2 linked regions of the Schizosaccharomyces pombe genome follow. Changing the gene in region 1 together with any one later gene gives a genetic interaction. Each region holds a gene or a part of one and is shown in the gene's direction. Other genes may lie near its edges.

Region 1 (4,231 bases):
ATGTAATCCTTAAGTGCTGGGGTGTACTATATATACAGTGCAAAGGGTATGGGTAAAGTAAATAAACGATTTCTCAATAACAACAAATAAAGCATATTTATTGTTGTTTAATTTTTTTCGTCTTGAAAAAGAAAACAGAATTGGAAAATTGCTAAGGCACCATAAACAGATAAAGTATAACGTTTTAGTTCATACCCACTAGCGTTGGTAACTAAAACTTACACAAATTTTATATTTTTTGCTTTATTTTTTTTATCTTCATATTGTTAACATGGCGTTTCGTGCTGCAAGAATTGCTTTCGCTTGGAAGGCAACCAATCCTGCTAATACAACAATTCGTCAATATATAAAAGAAACACTGGAAGAAGCACCTGAGAAAATCAGTCAAACTGTCAAAAAAGCAACTGGTAAGGCTTCGAAAAAGATAGATGAAAACAAAGATAAGTCACCACAGGAAATGGCTGAGAATGCAAAGCAATCGGTAAAGCAAACTGCCAAGGATGCAAAAGATACCGACTATCAGCAAAAGGCGAAAGATGCTGGTAAGAAAATAAAAGAGGAATTTAGCCAACGGTCGGAAAACGTACTCGAAGAAACTCGTCGTGAGGGGATGAATCGTGATGGTGGTGTTAAAAAGGAATAAAGAGGATTCCTTGTAAATGAATCGAGTTAATGTATTGAGTGGAAGCTTGTATACAAGCTCCTTGATGCTCTTTATGATTTTAAAGATGCTTCACGTTTGAAAACATCGCTTTCTTTTTGGATTTATATGAACGAACAATGCATGATTTACAAAACGAAGCTAGAAGATTGTTAATAAACTAAAAATCATAGTTCAACGGTTCCTGGCTTTTATTTACAAAATAAATTCAATTTTTGATGATAGCAAAAAAAAAAAATTTCATGATTTAAATAAGAATGAGATTATCGCGAGATGTGTTAATTATATTCCGGTTGTATAGTCTGGTATTCGTGGCAGTGATACTGCATATTTTGCATTGCCGATGCTAGCCTTAGTATGGACTTGACTGTATGTAAAAACTTTATGGCCCACATGCTGTCAACAGCTACTATGGTCAAATTTAAATTTTGTTATTCTATAGGCCGGATAGTTGTATAAAGGCATTGTAATGGATAATGGTAATAATACTCATTTTGGTCAAACACATTCATGCCATTCTACTCCAGTAAATTCAATGCCGCTCGTTGTAAGCATAGCGATAAATCCCAAAGGCTGTTCAAAGCAATAATTTCAAATTTGTATTGCAACTTGCCAACATTTTTAAAGTAAATAAATTCCGTTATTGTACAGTGACATTCTCATGTTATATACGCTCTACAGTCAATAACATAATATCATTCACCAACATGATAGTACTCGATTGTATTATATTTTACTAGTCTTGAAGCAAGAATAGCCATAGCCCTTGGGTTTTTGAAGTTGCCAAGATTTCGGCTCAGAATGAAATGCCCAAGCTAAGATTTCCGAAGGTTTTTTCAAATTTTCAATATTTACTGCATTTACTCCCTCCACAAAATCTGGTTTATACGAGAAGATGTGACTGCTAAAATGATCATTATGCTATAAAAAACCCCATTTGTCGTTTACAATGCTTTACATTCGTTTTTATCCACACTATTCACAAGCCTGTGTCACGGTTTATGTAATTGGCTTGGGGAACGTGTTGGAAAGAATAAAACCGCTGTATACTTCATACGGAACGCAATTATTACTTTTCGTTCTGCAATAAATCAGTGGAATATCGTGTTGGTTTTTTTACATATAGTTTTATTTTGATGTATTTAGTAAACACTCTATTTGTTAATTGAATATAAGTTAAATTATTAAAAGATATTTAGTATAAGTACAAATTTTAGTAATTGCATTAAAATGGTTATATTTATCGTGTTTCATTATCTAAACTGCTTTGTATAGGTTTTCGTTTGATTTTTTGTAAATTAATGGTGGTAGTTTTGGCTCCGTAAGGTAGAACGTTTTCTTCAGCTTCATCCAATTCACGTAACCCACTAGTTACCTGCAACACCATATCACTAGAAAACGTGGCCGAAACTTCTCTTTTTCCATTTGTATATATAAATGCATTTTTAATTTCTTTATCTTTTTATTGTCTGCACAATAAAGCGTTCATTCTTTCCGTTTTTTTTGAAAACTATTTTTCGTCATGACTCTTTCCTCTAACCAGTATCAGTACGTTCAGCGTTATTTCGTTTATGTCTCTTTCTAACTTCTGTTTATTAGATTGCCTCTTAATGTCCGCCCGTATACAACGACTTGGTGTTCCCAGTCTCCTTCCTGTTCAAATCTTCTTGCCATAGGTATGTAAGATATCTGAATGTTACGACGAATGGTAATTTACGTATTACTCATTTCTTCTTTTCTGTTTTCCTAAGTTACAATATTTGAGAAAACCTCAGTGCTAATGAAACAATTATCTTCAAATAGCATTCCTCTAAACGTTTTAAACTAATGATTAACCTTATACAGGCCATGATACGGGTATCACTATTTATTGTGCTTCAGAAGAACAGACGCCCGGATCTACAGGTTTGACATTACAAGAGTTGTTCACTATTCAAACTGGGTTACCCACTTTGCATCTTTCTTTTTCATCTAGCTGTAGTTATTCTGAGAATTTGCATGATGGCGATGGAAATGTGAATTCCTCACCTGTGTATTCTTTGTTTCTTGCATGTGTGTGTCAGGATAATACAGTTCGTCTAATAATTACAAAGAATGAAACCATTATTACTCAACATGTGTTGGGCGGAAAATCTGGGCATCATAATTTTGTGAATGATATCGATATTGCAGACGTCTATTCCGCTGATAATCGTCTCGCTGAGCAGGTGATAGCATCTGTGGGCGACGATTGTACGTTGATTATATGGAGACTGACTGATGAAGGGCCTATTTTAGCTGGATACCCATTGTCTTCCCCTGGTATTAGTGTCCAATTTCGCCCATCTAATCCTAATCAATTGATTGTTGGAGAAAGGAATGGTAATATTAGGATTTTTGACTGGACTTTGAATTTATCAGCTGAAGAAAATTCTCAAACCGAGTTGGTTAAAAATCCATGGCTTTTGACTTTGAATACCCTGCCACTCGTTAACACCTGTCATAGTAGCGGCATTGCTTCCTCTTTAGCTAACGTTCGATGGATCGGAAGTGATGGAAGCGGTATACTTGCAATGTGTAAAAGTGGGGCTTGGCTTCGTTGGAATCTTTTTGCTAATAACGATTACAATGAAATCTCGGATTCCACTATGAAATTGGGACCCAAAAATCTACTGCCCAACGTGCAAGGCATTTCATTGTTCCCATCCTTGCTTGGTGCTTGCCCACATCCCCGTTACATGGATTACTTTGCTACGGCACATTCTCAGCACGGCTTAATACAGCTCATTAATACATATGAAAAGGACTCGAATTCAATTCCTATTCAATTAGGTATGCCCATCGTTGACTTTTGCTGGCACCAAGATGGATCACATCTTGCTATAGCTACGGAAGGATCTGTTTTGCTTACCAGATTGATGGGGTTTACGAGATTATGAGGGTATAGAACAATATACTTAACATCGAACTAAAATAAACGGGTTCAGGAGAGGAAATTGTATTGAATAAATATTAATGTTCATAGTTAAACCAAAAAGTAGTATTTGCTATGTATTAACATCGTGTAAACGCTGTTACTTTTAAAAATTTTAAATGGATGTGTTGCTTTCGTAAACAATTCGCCTTGGTTCAAATATCGCCTTTGATATTTCAACTTCCAATAACCGATATGCGATTTGAATTGAATCTTCTAAATGTTCGTTACAATGATAAAACCCATTATTTTTGAGCATAATATTTTTCCAGAATCATGGATGCCAGTTTTTCGAAAGATGGATTGTGTAGCCGCTGTTGCTGAATAGCATCTAAGGTTTTCAGAGGAACAGAACCCTCTTCCTCACGGTCAAGGTTCACTAATTCTTTCATTATATGTAAAAGCTCGGCATTACTTTCAATTAAATTTTTTATGCTAGGATCTTCGACAATAGATTCCAAAAGACTTTCACTTGGCAATGCCTCTTCTGCTAAACTTGGGATTCTTCCATTAACGTAGATAACATTAGGAGAAGGTTCTGGGGGGTTTAAAGGTTCTTTAACTCCTTTGAATGTTGTTGTGTTATTGTCATTTACAGTCTCACATTGACTTTGGTG
Region 2 (4,773 bases), 500 kb from region 1:
CTCACATTTACCTTCTTCAAGTCTGCATTCTTTTTCCTAGTGTCCACATTAATTGACTGCAAATTTGAAAGAAGACTATCATATAAACTCATGAGTGTCTGCTTTAATTAAAGAATCTAAACCCCTTTTCATGCATGTAATTCAAGGGATTTGGAAACGGAGTATATACCACACTCAATGAGGGCTGTTGAGGTATTAATTTGCGATGTTCACTGGATTGCTATAAGGAGCTTAACAGAGTAACGCAAGATTGGTATTACGAATTGTATAAACACTATATTATATAACATCTAGTTTATTTTATGAGAGCAAAATAAACAATAGTATAAACCAGATAAAATAAAGCGCTCGTTTAATTAGGCGCTTGATGAAAGGTTTTTTAAAGAGGTGGGGAGAATGATAAAAAACTTGAACAGTATTAAATGAGAATAATCATGGGTAAAGCAAATGGAACAGCAATTAGCAGAATGAATAATTTCAATTTGGTGAAGGATCGAATGGTTTTAGCCTCTGATTTAGCAGTTAACGTATTCCAAAATTGTTGACCTCCAGGATGTTCACGTATATCGTATCCCAATGGAGCTAACAAGGTAGGCAAAACATAATGAGTAGTAACTGTAATACTTGGAACAAATGTTATTTCTGGAAGAAGAGTCGCTGTAAACTGGGGTAATGAAGTTTCGATTTTGCTGGTAGGATATAAAACCTTTAATGAACGTTAGTAGTCTTTTAGACAATGAAATAACTTACAATGGGAAATCCGTTAGTGATGACAACTTTAAGCGTGCCGTCAGTGTTCACAACATATTTTTGGTTGTTAATGATATCAAAAAACGTGTCCTTAGGAGATGCGCCAAGCGGTTTGAAAACGATTGATAGACGCTCTTCGTTATGAATTCCATAGTTGTTCAAAACGGTAATAACATTCAACTTTTGAACAACTATGTGGTGAATTTTGACGCTTAGGATAGTAGATCTAGTGTTCACATAATTCTCTTCCTGACGTTGAACGGACTTCCTGAACCGATTTAGGATACCAATAAGCTTATAGTATACATTCTCCATATCAAAATTTGATAGCCAAAGAGCTTCTCTATTAAACGGATCATGGTAACTGTTGAAATTTTGTTCGGTACCATAGTAAATAATGGGTATACCGTCCCACATCATCACAAATGTAATTGCATTCATAATTCTTGCTTGGTCGGTGTTATTGTGGCTTATTCTTGGTAAGTCATGATTTCCAATAAACGTTCCCAACACATTGATATCATTGCACTCTTCGTTTATTTGGTTAATTGCGATTGCTAAAGCCTCGCATTGAAGACCAGTGTTGTTGAATGCCCAAGTAATTGGCCAGTAAAGAGGGAAATTGAGGAAAGAGTCTAAACCAGAATTTTGGTAATCACAGGCTTCTGCTGGCGAACCAGTGAAATATTCGCCGATTGTAAATATATCCGCTGCTTTCGACATTCGTAACCAGAATTCTATCGGCGCATGCTTAATTGCATCAAACCTGATACCATCGATATCATATTCTTGCACAACGTTTTTTATCCATTTCTCTAAAACGCTCAAAACTACTTCGTTTTCTGTATCAACATCAGCCAACAGTAAATTCTCATCACCAAGCCAGCACTATATCATATAGTTAGTTCACTGTCGTTCTAAAAAACAATATAACGAGACTTAACGACCTGTACAGGCTAAGTCTAGGTTGTAGGAAAAATCGTTTAGTCTGTATAATTTGGCATACATTTTGAACACTTTCAATGTCGTTGCTTTCATAATCAACCCAGCAGTGAGGATGAAAGAAAGAAGCATCATTGAAGGGTATAACTTTTTCAAAGCTCATTTGTTCCAGCGGTCCGTTTATCGCCATAGAATTGATAGCCACGTCTAGTAAAATCCATATGTCGCGTTTATGCAATTCTTGTATTAGCTCCATAAATTCTTCCTTTGTTCCAAAGTGGTGATTAAGCTCATAGAGGTTGGTTGTCCAATATCCGTGATAGGACGAACCGTCAATATCATTTCCTTCAACATTTTCAAAGATTGGTGAGATCCATATCTATCATTATGTTAATCAAGTATTTGGGTAAAAATACATACTGCGTCAAATCCCATGCCTTGGATGTAATCTAGATGATTTCGAATTCCATTCCAAGTTCCCCCGCAGTACATAAATCGAACGGGATCGCATGGAATTCTCTCTGTTGCACCTTCTTCTAAAGAAAATCTGTCGGTGATTATTTGATAAATTGATCTGCGTTTCCACTCTTCAGCAGAATGTCCTGCATATGCTGGAATAAATGCAAAAAGCAGCATCCAACCAATTCTGAGACATATATTTCTACGGTAATTCATTATTAATCAATTTTTTTACCTTTTGGTTTCTGATTGAATTATGGTGTTGTTTGTAACAATTTTGCTTCTTAAATTTCAGAGGAGTTTGTGTGAATGCATGTAAACAAATACGTGTTTACTTTTTATTTGCGCATAGTCAACAACGATTGTTATCAAACAATTAGCTATTTGCTACTTTAAATTGCGCACACATCACTACTGTTGTTTTAGTAAACAAACAATATAGTTTGATTATATTCATATTCAACATTTTGTTTTGCGCAACACATGGACATACTGAAATCAGTATAAGATAAATAACTGAAGAACCAGTATTTTTTTTCTTTTTCAAAGATTATCTATTAAAATTCTATAAAAGAAACTTCATTTTAAATACTAGAGTGATCGTTTTTTCCCTTTAATCACTAGTTTAAGTCTGAAGACTTTACCTTCTATCTTTTGTGCTCCTATCAAATTTGTTAAAATCTTTTTACTTTTTCAACTATTTAACTAGATTTTTACACTTAGGGATATGGCGTACCCTCTTGTTGTTTCTTTCTTTTTGTATATTGTTATACTTGACAAACATGCTTGGTGCGCTCCTTTCAATAATCTCCTTACTGATTGGAATTTGAACACTAACGTTTCTGCTCTTGATCCATCGGATTATTGGGGTGAATGGGAGAATCATGAATTTTTTCCTAGCCCAGAACATTGGAGATTTCCCATTTATACTATTGCTATTGACAAATGGGTCGATGGAGATCCAACCAATAATGATTTTAGTGGAACAAGATTTGAATACGACATTTATGAGACAGAATTTAGAAACGGTGGAGATATAATTGGTGTGCGTCAATCTTTAGACTATTTGCAAGGTATGGGTGTTAAAGCTGTTTACTTTGCTGGGACACCTTTTGTTAATATGCCTTGGGGAGCTGATCAGTATTCTCCTCTTGATTTCACGTTACTTGATCCTCATTTAGGGACGATTAACGACTGGAGAGGAACAATCGAAGAAATGCATAGTAAAGGCATGTATGTAATTGTGGATCTCACCGTTGCTACATTAGCCGATCTGATAGGTTTCGAGGGTTTCACAAACACTACTACTCCGTTTACTTTTATTGAGCATAACGCTCTTTGGAAAGGAGAAGATCGGTATGCTGATTGGAATTTCACAAATTCGTGGGACCCTGACTGTGAATTGCCTAGATTTTGGGGCGAATCTGGTGAACCTGTGGTAGTAGAATGGACGGGTTGTTATAATTCGGACTTTGACCAGTATGGTGATACTGAAGCGTTTGGTAGTCATCCTGATTGGCAACGTCAACTCTCAAAATTTGCATCTGTTCAGGACCGGCTTCGTGAATGGAAACCTTCGGTAGCATCGAAACTCAAGAGGCTTTCATGCTTGGTGATTTCTATGCTTGATGTAGACGGTTTTCGCATTGATAAGGCTACCCAGATGACAGTAGATTTCCTTGTAGATTGGGCCAAAAGCGTTCGTCTCTGCGCAAATCGATTTAACAAAAGTAATTTTTTTATACCTGGAGAAGTCACTGGTCCCTCAAGCTTTGGAGCTATATACTATAACCGGGGTAGACAGCCAAATCAACGTCCCGCAAATTTAATCGATGCGCTGAATGCTACTTCTTCTGATAATGTTTACTTCCTAAGAGAAGAAGGTGAAAATGCTTTGGATGCATCCGCTTTTCATTATTCAGTTTACAGGATTATTTTACGATTCTTGAGAATGGATGGTTTAATGGAGATCCCTTACGATCTCCCTGTAGATTTGGCTGAAGCATGGCACCAAATTGTGATAAATGAAGATTCTTTCAATCCCAAAACTGAAAAATATGACCCTCGCCATTTATACGGTGTTTCAAATTACGATGTTTTCCGCTGGGCATCGGTTGCTGATGGCTCTCGCCGATTAATCTTAGGAACAATGATGACATTTTTTTTGTTTCCTGGTGCGCCTCTAATATATTATGGTGATGAACAAGGACTGTACGTTTTAGATAACAGTGCAAACAATTATTTATATGGCAGACAATCCATGGCTGCGGCTCCGGCTTGGTATATTCATGGCTGTTATTCTGGATCATCTTCTACTTACCCTGCTATTGACTTAAGTCCCGCGAAAATTGGTTGTTTAGATATTTGGAATTCTTTAGATCATTTTGACCCTTCAAGAATTGAGCGACAATTATTTATAGAGTTTCAAGATATCAGGTCTCGATATAGTGCGCTCACTCACGGCTGGAAATCGGAACTTTTAGGAAACTGGACCAATATTGAATATCTGCCAAATAGCGGCATAAATCCCTCCAACGTTGGTACGTTTAGTATGGTGAGGGGTGCCATTAATTCATTGCAAAATATAAGCTCAGAATACAATTTTCCTGGAGTTAAAACATC

The links. A genetic interaction does not mean that the proteins touch.
Region 2: mutations in nup37 (region 1) and mok11 together harm fitness more than expected from each alone (negative genetic interaction), as found in Schizosaccharomyces pombe (one large-scale study listed by BioGRID).

Annotation. Positions count from the first base shown.
Region 1 is NC_003424.3:4,868,317-4,872,547, forward strand, and holds nup37 (nucleoporin), read left to right. Parts: upstream 1-2,027; 5' UTR 2,028-2,183; coding exon 2,184-2,209; exon of another isoform or gene 2,210-2,260; coding exon 2,261-2,337; exon of another isoform or gene 2,338-2,410; intron 2,411-2,506; coding exon 2,507-3,579; 3' UTR 3,580-3,710; downstream 3,711-4,231. Other genes in the region: SPOM_SPAC4F10.17 (uncharacterized protein), read left to right, coding at 272-643; hit1 (HIT zinc finger domain-containing protein), read right to left, coding at 3,860-4,231.
Region 2 is NC_003424.3:4,372,621-4,377,393, forward strand, and holds the start of mok11 (cell wall alpha-1,3-glucan synthase Mok11), read left to right. Parts: upstream 1-1,742; 5' UTR 1,743-1,756; coding exon of another isoform or gene 1,757-2,071; 5' UTR 2,072-2,112; coding exon of another isoform or gene 2,113-2,367; 5' UTR 2,368-2,878; coding exon 2,879-4,773. Other genes in the region: SPOM_SPAC23D3.13C (guanyl-nucleotide exchange factor), read right to left, coding at 12-92; aah2 (alpha-amylase 2), read right to left, coding at 419-706, 751-1,638, 1,757-2,071, 2,113-2,367.